2 linked regions of the Lonchura striata genome follow. The protein of the gene in region 1 interacts with the protein of each later gene in a pairwise test. Links are inferred from orthologs where the notes say so. Each region holds a gene or a part of one and is shown on either strand. Other genes may lie near its edges.

The links.
Region 2: the proteins of HABP4 (region 1) and RACK1 interact in a two-hybrid assay, tested with the Homo sapiens proteins (2 studies listed by BioGRID). The link is inferred for Lonchura striata from reciprocal best matches to the Homo sapiens genes HABP4 and RACK1.

What each region holds. Positions count from the first base shown.
Region 1 is NC_134642.1:10,457,260-10,464,135, forward strand, and holds the start of HABP4 (intracellular hyaluronan-binding protein 4), read right to left. Parts: upstream 3,013-6,876; 5' UTR 2,974-3,012; coding exon 2,673-2,973; intron 1-2,672. UniProt on the Homo sapiens protein: Ribosome-binding protein that promotes ribosome hibernation, a process during which ribosomes are stabilized in an inactive state and preserved from proteasomal degradation.
Region 2 is NC_134631.1:305,191-312,191, reverse strand, and holds the start of RACK1 (small ribosomal subunit protein RACK1), read right to left. Parts: upstream 3,005-7,001; 5' UTR 2,893-3,004; coding exon 2,784-2,892; intron 822-2,783; coding exon 650-821; intron 1-649. Other genes in the region: uncharacterized protein LOC144247616, read left to right, coding at 5,233-5,242, 6,555-6,575. UniProt on the Homo sapiens protein: Scaffolding protein involved in the recruitment, assembly and/or regulation of a variety of signaling molecules. Interacts with a wide variety of proteins and plays a role in many cellular processes.

The DNA of each region.
Region 1 (6,876 bases):
GCTACCTTATGTTGAAGCAACCTTCTCAGGGCTAAGCCCCCATCAAACTAGGCTTTCAAACTGTAACTGGACAAGACAGCAGATGAGGGGTCTTGAAGGCTGCCTTTCCTAGAAAAGGTTGGACCAGACCATCCTTCCAGCATAGCGTTTCAACCTTGTTCTGTGATGATTCCAAGAACACTAGTACAACACAGTGAGTTCTATCATTTCAACTGTAATACTACCAGAATCTCATTCTGCTGTTCAGATCGGTCTAGATGCTATTTTTTGGTGTTTAATTACTAATAAGTAGAATTAAGTTAGAGGTAGTTATGCCCATAATCGGAGAAGGGAAATCACAAAGAAAATCTAGAAACAAAGTCTTAAGTTTGGTATGTTGTTTTTCTTTTTTTTTTTTTTTTTTTACTAAAAGTTTAGAAATTAGTTTAACAGCTTAGTAATTTTAATCAATATATTTCCCTAAGGAGAGGTGCACTCTTCTAACAATGCATCTGTTATTATAAGCTTCATGACAAACTGTGAGAGTACAAGGACGTTCCCTAGAGGTTGGTCATTCTCAACTGTCAAGATGAGATCTTATATAAAATACAGAAGTTTTGAACCCTATGTAACAAACTAACTTTGTACAGCCCCAATAGAGAGCTGACCCACTCTCTTCCAAAAAAATGCAAGATTTTTCTCTCAACATGCCACTTACTTAACATTTATCAGCTACATCATCACTTGTGTATTTACCCTAACTCAGAGGGTTCTCTGCCATTCAGAGCAGACTTGGCTAAGACAGCACATTCAAAGGAAGAACACACAGTCAAGACCACGTCTTGACTATCCACACTGGTTTAACATCTTAGGCACTGTACTTTTATAGTCTTTACTTCCTAACAAGCCCAAGACAAACACACAAAATCCCAAAGAGATGCTATGTTTAAAGAAGAAAGTGTGTTTTTAAATATAGAAGAGAAATAACTCTTCTTTAAATAGATCTTAATGTCCTTTCACTAAGGGTACTATAGTCAGCAGTCTTTTCTCCATTTCAAATTATCAGGAAATTAAAACAAGGTGCACACGCCTGTTGTCTCTGTATGAGAAAAGAGATTTCTTAACACCAAGCTTGCAGAGAATAATCAAAGACACATCACAGGGCCACTGTGTATTGCCAAGAATGGAGACACTTATCAGCAAGCAGGAGGTAAAGGATGGCCTTCACATACTACCATGCTCACGTGATAGCACGCATCACATCCTACCGTGGTAAGTTACTGATAACCAGCCAGTTCTTGTTCAAGGACTCTTTCATGAGAATTTGAGATTTTGCTGTTCACTAAACAGACTCCTTCAACTGCCATTGACAACCACAGTAAAGCAACCTTAAATAAAATAAGCTGTTATAGTCTAAACATTAGTTTCAGGAGACTAAGTCACACAACTGCAGAGAAATCTGAGAAAGATTAATTTCATATAACTGCCCACAAAGACAGTGATTACTTGTTGATATCTTCCTTTACAAAGGTGCTCCCTACCTAGCACATATTTAGCATTGAAAGATTCTCTGCTCCACAAACTGCTAAAAATGAATCAAGTAAGTGCTGCTGTTTAAAGTGTAGGACTCTAAGCCTAAGCAACAGAATTGGCAGCACCGGCAATAACTTGGAGCAACAACCTCGATTCAAAGACCTTTTTCTAGGGCATTAAAACACACAGTACAATTACTGTGAGTTTAACGGGAGCTTTTACTAGAGGAAGAAAACAACAATAGATTATGTGTTAGGCTTCATTGCTTCCTGCAGGAGAATAAGAATTTACAACTCAAAAGGATTGAGATGTAAACCCCTTGCACATCTTCTGCGCAAAAGATTCTCAATATTTGGAAACAATCCACCAGTTCTAAGATACTTTTGATACTGAATCCAGCAACCTGAAGCTCAATACCGGGTGAGTAGTAACAACCAGACTAAGTCTAGCAATCAGCTCCAAATGCAAGAAGCTATAGCCCACAAAGCCTCCAGCTGCGAAGAGGACTGTGACAGACATTTTAGTACAAAGCCAACTGACTCCCTCTTTTCTCAAGCAGTATTACACATCAGAACCTATCAGCTGACCATTCCTGAGCACCTGCTGAAGAGTTACCCCAGGAAATAAGATTTATTCAAAGGCTCAAATCAAGGCAAAATCAGTGCAGATCCCTGGAGACACTGAAAGGCCAGAAAACTCACAGGTACCAAGAAATCATGCCTGGAAACTTCAGACACTGAAGGATACTGTCCAGGGTGACAAGCAACGAAAGGCAGCAACAGGGCTGCTAAACCAACTTGAAAGCTGCCGATGCCGCAGCGAAGTTGACACTCTTGCACTTGTCTCTTGGGGATATTGCTAAAGTTTTCATTAACATCTTCAAAGGCCCTATGGGCAGAGAGTGCTCGGCAATACCGCGTCGGGACCGTGCCCAAGCATCACTGCTTTCTCTGAGGGGACCTCCATGTGCGTTCACCACAATGACCCCACCACGAGCCAGGATTTTTCATCCCTGCTGTGACAGCGCTCCCCCGCCACGCCAGGGCTGCGAGAGGTCGGCGAAGCGCGGAGCCCCCACGCCGTGGGACCCGCACCGGGCACCGCGGCGCCGGGACCGCTTCCCTCCCTCCCGAACCGGCCGCCGCGGCCCCGCCGCCTACCTGTCTGCGGCGGGGCCGCGGGGGAGGCTGCGGGGCAGCTCCCCGGCTGCTTGCGCTCCCTCTGGGGCTCCTTCTGCGGCTCCCTCCTGCCGCCGCCCGCCCGGCCGCCGGGCGCGGCTCTCCCGCCGCCGGCCGCCGCCTCGCCGCGCTTCTTCCGCTGCTGCCGGAGGCGCTCGACCTCGCGCAGGACGTCGAACGGGTCCGACGCGTCGTCCAGGAGGTAGCAGAAGCGATTGGCGACGGAGCACGCGATGCTCTCCTGCATGACGGCACCCACCGGGCTGCCCAGCAGCCCCGTCATAATCCGCGCGGCCGCCTCGCCTCCCCCGACCGCCCCCCTGCCCCCCGAGGTTGTTTCGGCGCGAGGCCGAAACGACAGCACGCACCGCCGGGCGAGAGCGGCGGCAGCGCCGGCCCGGCCCCGCCGCACCTTGGCGCGGCCCCGCCCCGGCCAGGCCGCTGCAGCCAATGGAGCTCCCCAGCGCTCCCACAGCGCACCCGCCGCCTTTAAGCGCGGCCGAGCCCGCCCACAGCCGGCACGCGCGACCGCGAGCAACAGATCGGCCAATCCCGGCGCCGAGCTCCGCCTCACCCCGCCCCTTGTGCCCAGCTGCGGCCAATTACCGCGCAGGGTCGCAGCTGTCAATCACACCCGCTGACCAATGCGGTGCGCCGCTCTGTTATTCGTCTGGTGCGCGGCCCGCCGCCCCGGCTGCGCCCCGTGCGGGGACGCTGTGTGGCGGCCGCGGTTCGAGGGTGGCGCCGGCACAGCGGTGTCGCCGCGGGTCTTTTGGTACAACCTGCATCCTCTGACAAGTGACACCAACGAAAGAGGCGCTCCCTGCGCTGGGAGTTCCCCAGGGTAGCCCCGCTCCGTCCAGCGAAACCCGGGATGGGGCTCCCATCCGTCACTAAGCCGCCGTGGTGACGGGTTTTAGTGCAGCACGCCTTGTCAGCTGCTCACTGTTCTGGGCCTACTTTTGCTGCCTCAAAATAAAAATGTCTCAATAAATATGGCTAATAGTGACATGCCAGGAGACTCATCAAGGCATTTTTCCGCAGAGGAAAAATGATATTTCTCTGGGCACTGATATTTCGGGCGGGCGCTTCTCTCTTTTATCAGCCACAGTGACAACAAAATCTTAGCCCTTCAGCCACAATTGCCCAAAGAATGGCGATTGCAGTCTTGATTTTTGTGATGAGGCTGTCTTTATTCCAGTCGTTCATGTGAAACTAACATTTCCTCTATCATGATAGCTTCACTGTATATACCACCTTCTTTTGAAATTAATTTTATCCTTACTACGGTAAGTTGAAACTGTATCAAAATTCTTGATATGTTTTGAAAGGCAGGATTAAAGACAGCCCTGTTCTCTCTTCGTTTTTGGATGCTGATAAGTCTGTGGACACCACTGTAAAACAAAATAAGGTGTATCCTCTACAGATTATTCCAAGCTTTGAATATAATCATTGCATCTCTCCTGGCTCTCATGTAGACCCCCTTTTGCAGGCATGCTTACTGCAGAAGAAAACTAATTTAATTGGTCTTAGTGCCCTTTCAAGTTTCAATTTCATTCAAGAGATCACAAACTGTTTTGCATGGAAATAATGACAGTAACTTCAGGCAATTATCTGCCTGCAAAGATCTTTACAAAATCCTGGTAGTGGGAGTCAAATCTCTCAGGCTCTGAAATGTTTCAAATCAAAAGCAGAAAAATATAAGTCAACAAAGCAAAAATATCATTATTCCTGCACAGTTCTTATATTGTAAAATGTAGCTATCCATAATTAAGAAAAATTCATGAAGAAATTTTCAATAATATGATAAAGGAATAAAATACTTTATAAGAAGTGTTCGCTTAATCAACTGTCCTTTCCTCTGAATTGTTGGTTTATTTTTTAGAAGGATTAAATTTCCTGTTTTTTTACTGTGAAGAAGGAACTGGAAAGGTATGTTGTCCTGTACTAATCTGGAGAAAGACATTAACAACATCACATTACTACAGCATATTAAAAATATCACCAAATATTTGCAGATTCTTTGGAGCATTTTGGTATCAATTGCAGCATCTACACTAGATTTCCTCAGCACACATTGTATCCAGAACGTTTTTTAGAAATTTTAGAGATATTTTTATTTCAATATTCTACAAGTTTGAATCAAGGTTATGCTGTATATGAAAGATAACAGACAACCATCACTGGTCAGTGCTATTACTGACTATAATGTCCTTGCAGCTTTAATAGGTACTTTGAAGGTCACAGCGTCTTTGGAGAAGGATGACTATGAGGAATTCAGATATATTTCAGCAGTAAGATTAGAGATTTGGTGTTCCATGGGCCTTTTTTTGTGAAGACTCAAAGGAGAAAAAAAAGACTGCTCAGAGAGATTCCACAACGACAGCCAAAACCAGTGTTTGCTATAAATATATATTGTCTTTATATGTATAATTTTGATTCCTAAAATGAATGTAAATATTTAGAAAAATCCTTAATTTTCTGATGTTCTGAGTTGTCAATCAAAAAAAAAAACTTCTGTAAGAGATTCCAACCTCCAATCTGATTAAAAGTCTTGCATGACAAATGAAAGTACTTTTCAATCCCTTTTTTGCTTGCAGCTGTCAGGAAAATTAATCCAAAATGCCAGAGGTTTTTACTCCAGCTATGGAGTCCCATAGCTTTTTCAAGAATAAAAGGAGAATTGCTGGGGGATGCATCCTCCTTTTTATCCTAATTCCTCAGCCCCATTTCCTTCTCTCTTTCCCTATTGTCTTAGGTACCTGAGAGGTACAGACTTCCCAAATCACCTAATACAGACCCTCTTCTAATGAGAATCCTCCCCCCCTTCCCTTTTCTTTGTTTCTCTGTTCTTTTTCTCTAACTCCAGGAATTTAGCGTGGCCTTGGGTGAGTAACAGTCCTCCGGAATTTATGGTTTCTACTATTGCTTCTTTCACCTATCAGTACCTGGCTCTATCTAACAGCAGGCCCACAGTTTGTTTGTAAAAACTCCCTCTCATTCCTTTCACAGCTTTTCGCTATGTGCAATCAGTGTGTGATTGTCGAGTTACATACTTACACAAACAATGGAGAAAGAAGGAAAACCTGAATTTTACTGTCAAAGTGTAACCAAATGCTCTGTCTGGAATTTTATACCAAAAATTAATAGTGATGGCTTCAGCATGATTACATATTTGCAAGACTAAATCTCATAGTTGTAGTACAAGGCATAACCTTTCTGACAACAGATGACTCATGTTAAGTGAAGATGAGGGCTGCCTACCTAAGTGGCTGCTCCACATTCTCCCCACAAGTGGATTTTTCACACAGAACAGCACCCTACACAATGTTGCCTAGCAGGTGTAGATATGGGATATGGCATCTTTACCAAAACAGCCCTTGCTTATTTTTTTCCTTTTTTTTTTAAAGGTGCAAAAGTGCCTAATTACAAGAGACAGAATTGAGAATGGTGATTGGTGTTTCTCTGACCTTTGCATCTAAGCACCTAATCACCAGCAAGGGTCATCCCGTTCTTGACCTTTCGTACAGACACATTCTTATCCCTGGACATTTCATTTTCTAGTGCCACAGCTCTCCTGCCTGAGGGAAACACATCCTGAACACATCACATGTCGCTGTTGAGGCAGGACGGGAACAAAAAGACTGCAATTCAGAAGACAAGAAGCAAACTGATTTATTTAAAATACACTGCTCTTTCTATAGGGAACATCGTGCAGACCAATTTCATTGGTCTTAAAGTAAAAACATCTCACATCACTGGCATGTGCTGAATGACACACAGTGGTAGAACACATCTATAAACAATGTGAACAACAAGAGAGACAGAGAATTATTTACATTCCTTTGAAACTCTTTCCCAGGCCTAGCCTGGCAGAAACCTCTCATTTTCTCTCTGAACTGAGAATATCCATAATCACATGGCTCAAGGTGCCATTCTGGGACAGGGCACCAGAACAGGTAAAGAGAGTAACACTGTGGATCTAGCTATTGCATCCAGCAACACAATTCTACTAAGCAAAATTGACTACCTGAAGTCTTGAGCCAAAAAAGAGCTGCATCACTAAAGATGGACATGCTTATAGAGGAGTACACCTAATGCTAAGAGCTTTGTGTGTGAGCTGGACATTGTGCCCTGGCTGGCAGCAAATAGTTGGAGCCCCAACAAATAAGTCAGGAACAGGCAC
Region 2 (7,001 bases), on another chromosome or scaffold:
TTCGGTTCCATAAATGATGGTCTTCTTGTCTGGGACACCCCAAAATTTTGCCCAAAATTGGGCTGCTCCCCCGAAATGTTCTCCCATCATCATTGCAGGACGTGTCGTCAGATCCCGTGGGATCGGATGGAGACGTCAGGTCTAATCATCGGGAGAGGGGCGAGCAGCTCGAAAATCCCAAATTCCGACCCAAAAATTTGGGATTTACCCAAATTTTGGGATGATCTGACGCTGGTGAGACCCAAAACCCCTGGTGGGACCCCAAAACCCACGTGGTGAGATCCCAGAGGAGAAAGGATGGTGGACACCTCAATCCCACCCCAAAAATCCCAAATTTCCCCAACTTTTGGGACAACCTGACCCTGGTGGGACCCCAAAACCCACGTGGTGAGATCCCAGAGAAGAAAGGATGGTGGACACCTCAAACCTTCTCAATCCCACCCCAAAAATTCAGGATTTACCCAAATTCTGACCCTGGTGGGACCCCAAAACCCACGTAGTGAGATCCCAGAGAAGAAAGGATGGTGGACACCTCAAACCTTCTCAATCCCACCCCAAAAATTCGGGATTTACCCAAATTCTGACCCTGGTGGGACCCCAAAACCTTCTCTAAAGACCCCCAAATTTTAGGTGGAACCCCAAAACGGACGTGGTGAGGTCCCAGAGGCGCAGGGTCCCGTCCCAGGAGCCTGAGAGCGCAAACTGCCCGTCCGAGGAGATGACCACGTCGCTGACGAAGTGCGAGTGGCCGCGCAGCGCCCGCTGCGGGATCCCGTAGTTGGTCTCATCGCGCGTCAGCTTCCACATGATGATGGTCTTGTCTGGGGTGGGGACAAGCGGGGGGTGTCACCTCCATGGATATCCTTGGTTCTTGGTGGGTTTGGGGTCATCCTTGGTGGGTTTGGGGTGGTTCTTGGTGGGTTTGGGTCATTCTTGGTGGGTTTGGGGTGGCTCTTGGTGGGTTTGGGGTGGTTTTGGGTCATCCTTGTTGGATTTGGGTCATTCTTGGTGGGTTTGAGGTGGTTCTTGGTGGGTTTGGGTCATTCTTGGTGGGTTTGGGTCATTCTTGGTGGGTTTGAGGTCGTTCTTGGTGGGTTTGGGTCATTCTTGGTGGGTTTGGGTCATTCTTGGTGGGTTTTAGGTGCTTCTTGGTGGGTTTGGGGTCATCTTTGGTGGGTTTGGGTCATTTTTGGTGGGTTTGGGGTGGTTTTGGGTCATCCTTGGTAGGTTTGAGGTGGTTCTTGGTGGGTTTGGATCATTCTTGGTGGGTTTGGGTCATTCTTGGTGGGTTTGGGCCATTCTTGGTGGGTTTGGGGTCCCCCACCCGTGGGTGCCCCCAGCCCCATTTCCCCTATGGGTGCCCCCAGCCCCATTTCCCCCATGGGTGCCCCCAGCCCCATTTCACCCCATCTCCCACCCATTTCACCCATGGGTGCCCCCAGCCCCATTTCCCCCGTGGGTGCCCCCAGCCCCATTTCACCCCATCTCCCACCCATTTCACCCATGGGTGCCCCCAGCCCCATTTCCCCTGTAGGTGCCCCCAGCCCCATTTCCCCTGTAGGTGCCCCCAGCCCCATTTCACCCATGGGTGCCCCCAGCCCCATTTCCCCTATGGGTGCCCCCAGCCCCATTTCCCCCGTGGGTGCCCCCAGCCCCATTTCCCCTATGGGTGCCCCCAGCCCCATTTCCCCTATGGGTGCCCCCAGCCCCATTTCCCCCGTGGGTGCCCCCAGCCCCATTTCACCCATGGGTGCCCCCAGCCCCATTTCCCCCGTGGGTGCCCCCAGCCCCATTTCCCCTGTAGGTGCCCCCAGCCCCATTTCCCCCATCTCCCACCCATTTCCCCCGTGGGTGCCCCCAGCCCCATTTCCCCCGTGGGTGCCCCCAGCCCCATTTCCCCTGTAGGTGCCCCCAGCCCCATTTCACCCATGGGTGCCCCCAGCCCCATTTCCCCTATGGGTGCCCCCAGCCCCATTTCCCCCGTGGGTGCCCCCAGCCCCATTTCCCCTATGGGTGCCCCCAGCCCCATTTCCCCTATGGGTGCCCCCAGCCCCATTTCCCCCGTGGGTGCCCCCAGCCCCATTTCACCCATGGGTGCCCCCAGCCCCATTTCCCCCGTGGGTGCCCCCAGCCCCATTTCCCCTGTAGGTGCCCCCAGCCCCATTTCCCCCATCTCCCACCCATTTCCCCCGTGGGTGCCCCCAGCCCCATTTCCCCCGTGGGTGCCCCCAGCCCCATTTCCCCTGTAGGTGCCCCCAGCCCCATTTCCCCCGTGGGTGCCCCCAGCCCCATTTCCCCCGTGGGTGCCCCCAGCCCCATTTCCCCCATGGGTGCCCCCAGCCCCATTTCCCCCGTGGGTGCCCCCAGCCCTATTTCACCCCATCTCCCACCCATTTCACCCATGGGTGCCCCCAGCCCCATTTCACCTATGGGTGCCCCCAGCCCCATTTCCCCTGCAGGTGCCCCCAGCCCCATTTCCCCTGTAGGTGCCCCCAGCCCCATTTCCCCTATGGGTGCCCCCAGCCCCAATTCCCCTATGGGTGCCCCCAGCCCCATTTCCCCCGTGGGTGCCCCCAGCCCCATTTCCCCCCCATCTCCCACCCCCCAATTTCCCCTATGGGTGCCCCCAGCCCCATTTCACCCATGGGTCCCCCCCATTTCCCCTATGGGTGCCCCCAGCCCCATTTCACCCATGGGTCCCCCCCATTTCCCCTGTAGGTGCCCCCAGCCCCATTTCCCCCGTGGGTGCCCCCCCCCCCCTCCATCCCCATGGCCGCCCTCACCGCGCGACGCCGACAGGATCATGTCCGGGAACTGCGGCGTGGTGGCGATCTGCGTCACCCAACCATTGTGGCCCTTCAGGGTCCCCCGCAGGGTCATCTGCTCCGTCATGGCGGCGCCGATGGAGGCGGCGGCGCCGAGGATGGCGGCGGATTCGCGGCGGGTTCGCGGCGGCCTCGGCGCGCAGCCCTCCGTCCCCTCAGGCGGCGGCGGGGAGAAAGAGGAGGCGCCGCTTCCGGGAGAAGCGGAAGTGACGTCAGTTCCGTACGGAATGATGGCGGCCGGTATGGGGGGAGTAAGGAGGCGGCGCCATTTTGGTGTACGGAAAATGGAGGCGGGGATTTGGGGGGGGTCTCGGGGAAGGTTCCAGGAGGCCCAAAAAATCACAGGGAGCCCCAAAATATCTCAGAGACCCCAAAAATCCAGGGAGCCCCAAAAAATCCCATGGAGCCCCAAAATATCTCAGGGATCCCCCAAAAAATCACAGGGAGCCCCAAAAATGATCCCAGGGAGCCCCAAAAAATCCAGGGACCCCCAAAAAATCAGAGGGAGTCCCAAAATATCCCATGGAGTCCCAAAATATCTCATGGAGCCCCAAAATATCCAAGTGACCCCCAAAAAATCCAGAGAGCCCCAAAAAATCCCATGGAGCCCCAAAATATCTCAGGGACCCCCAAAAGATCCCAGGGAGCTCCAAAAAATGATCCCAGGGACCCCCAAAAAATCTCAGGGACCCCCAAAAATCCCAGGGACCCCCCCAAAAATTACAGGGAGCCCCAAAAAATCCAGGGACCCCCAAAAAATTACAGGGACCCACAAATTTTGGGCTCCTCCCCTCCCCAAATTTTGGGCCCCACCCCCCCAAATTTTGAGCCCCACCCCCCCAATTTTTGGGCCCTCCCCCCCAAATTTTGGGCCCCTCCCCACCAAATTTTGGGCCCCTCCCCACCAAATTTTGGGCCCCTTCCCCCCAAATTTTGGGTCCCGCCCCCCCAAATTTTGGGCCCCGCCCCCCCAAATTTTGGGCCCCGCCCCCCGGGTTAATTTTGGGATCGGCTCCGGTTCCAGCCGGGCTCGGCGGCCTCGGGGCCTGCGGGGCCCCAAAATCCGCCCCAAAATCGAACCCCAAAATTGACCCGGCCGGTGAGTGACCCCCAAAATCCCCCAAAAACCCCAAAAATCCAAAAAATCCCCCCCAAAACCCCCCAAAAATCCCCCCCGAAATACCAAAAAATCCCCCAAAACCCCCAAAAATTCCCACCAAAAAATTCCCAAAATCTGCCCCGGGCACCCCAAAATTGAACCCCAAAATTGTCCCGGCTGGTGAGTGACCCCCAAAATCCCCGGGGGACCCCAAAATCCCAAAAAATTCCCCCAAAATCTGCCCCAAAATCCCCAAAAGTCCCCCCGAAATCCCAAAAATCCCCCAAAATCCCAAAATTCGGCCAAAAAATCCCAAAATCTGCCCCGGGCACCCCAAAATTGAACCCCAAAATTGTCCCGGTCAGTGAGTGACCCCCAAAATCCCCCAAAAACCCCAAAATCCAAAAAAATCCCCCCAAAATCCCGCCAAAATCCCAAAAATCCCCCAAAATCCCAAAATTCGGCCAAAAACCCCAAAATTCGCCCCGGGCACCCCAAAATTGAACCCCAAAATTGTCCCGGTCAGTGAGTGACCCCCAAAATCCCCCAAAAATCCCAAAATCCTAAAAAATCCCCCCAAAATCCCCCCCGAAATCCCAAAAATCCCCCAAAATCCCAAAATTCGGCCAAAAACCCCAAAATTCGCCCCGGGCACCCCAAAATTGAACCCCAAAATTGTCCCGGTCAGTGAGTGAACCCCAAAATCCCCCAAAAAACCCAAAATCCAAAAAAATCCCCCCAAAACCCCCCCGAAATCCCTAAAATCCCCCCAAAACCCCAAAATATTCCCAACCCCCCCCAAATCCCCCAAAATCCAAAAAATTCCCCCCAAAAAACCCAAAAATTCCCCAAAACCACTAAAAATCCCCCCAAAAATGTCAAAAACCCTCCCCAAAACCCCAAAATCCCCAAAAACCCCCAAATTCCCCCAAAATCCCAAAATTCCCCCCCAAAAAACCCCCAAAATCCCCTCGAAATCCCAAAAAATCCCCCAAACCCCCCAAAATCCCCCCAAAATTCCAAAAATACCCAAAAGCCCCAAAAATCTCCCCAAAAATCCCCAAAATTTTGCCCCAAAATCCCAAAAATTCCCCCCAAAAAACCCCCAAAAATCTCCCCAAAAATCCCAAAAATTTTGCCCCAATTCTGCCCGAAAAGATTTTATTTTATTTTATTTTATTTTATTTTATTTTATTTTATTTTATTTTATTTTATTTAAATATACCCAAAATTCCCAAATTTTCCTGGAAAATTCTTCCACCCCCCCCAAAATTCCGAATTTTTTTCCTTTCCAGGAGCAGCGACGAGATGGAACCGGGTGGGTAAAAAATCCAAATTTTTCCCAAATTTTTCCCAAATTTTTCACCCCAAAAATTCCAAATTTTCCCCCAAATTTTTCACCCCAAAAATTCCAAATTTTCCTATAATTTTAGGTGAATTTTCCCAAATTTTTCACCTCAAAAATTCCAAATTTTCCTAAAATTTTAGGTGAATTTTCCCAAATTTTTCACCTCAAAAATTCCAAATTTTCCTAAAATTTTAGGTGAATTTTCCCAAATTTTTCACCTCAAAAATTCCAAATTTTCCTCAATTTTTGGGTGAATTTTCCCACATTTTTCACCCAAAAAATCCCAAATTTTCCTCAAATTTTGGGGTGAATTTTCCCTATTTTTCACCCAAAAAATCCAAATTTAAGGAAAATTTGATTCAATTCCCAGAATTTTCCCAAACTGACCCAAATTTTCCCTTTTTTTCCTCTTTTCCAGGAGAAAATTCCGCTCTGGGTGAGTGAAATTTGTGGTTTTATTCCCTTTTTTTTTTGCTCTTTTATTTCAAATTTATTCCCAATTTTTCCCACTTTATCCCCATTTTATTCCCATTTTTTCCCAAATTTATTCCCCAATTTTATTCCCATTTTTTCCCCATTTTTCCCCAAATTTTTCCCCAAATTTTTCCCCACTTACTCTTTGACATTTTAAATATTAATTTTAATATTTATTAATTACTAATTTTGCTATTTACTAATTTCAGTATTTATTATTTATTAATTTTGCTATTTATTAATTTTAATGTTTATTACTTATTTTGCTATTAATTATTTTTTAATATTGATTATTTCTTATTTTTATATTTACTATTTTTAATATTTATAATTTTATATTTTTGCTATTTATTAATTTGAACATTTATTATTTACTAATTTTCTTATTCATTATTTCTAATATTCTTTATTTCCCCAGATTATTAATATAATATAATATAATATAATATAATATAATATAATATAATATAATATAATATAATATAATATAATATAATATAATATAATATAATTAATATAATTAATATAATTTTAATTTAATTTAATTTATTCTAATTTAATTTAATTTAATGTAAGTTTAATTTTAATTAGTTTAATTTAATTAATTTCATTTATTTTCTGTTTTTCAGGTGACTCCAGCACCAAACTGAGTCAGTCCAACCAAAAATCTTCATTTTTGCGGCCGATTTTGGGGGGAAAAATCCCAATTTTGGGCCCGGATGCTCCGAGACCACCCAAAAAATCCCAAAAAAGGAAAAAATTTGGAAATAATTTGAATTTTCTTTCTTTTTTTCCCCTTTTTTCCCAGAGGAACGCGAGCGGAAAATCAGTGAGTGCCCATTTTTGGGGGAAAAAATGCAAATTTTGGGTAAATAAAATTACAAATTTTGGGGTAAAAAAATCCTGATTTTGGGTAAAAAAAAAATCCAAGTTTTATGGTAAAAAATTCAAATTTTGGGGTAAAAAAAATCCAAATTTTTGGGTAAAAAATTTGAAATTTTTGGGTTAAAAAAATTCCAATTTTTGGGTTAAAAAATCCAAATTTTCAGTTTAAAAAAAAATCCCAATTTTGGGTTGAAAACTCCAAATTTTTGGTCAAAAAAAAATCCGAATTTTGGGGTAAAAAATCCAAATTTTGGGTAAAAAAGACCTCAAAATTTTGAGGTTAAAAAAATCCAAATTTTCGGTTTAAAAAAATCAATATTTTGGGTTAAAAAATCCAAATTTTTGTGTTAAAAAAAATTCCAAATTTTGG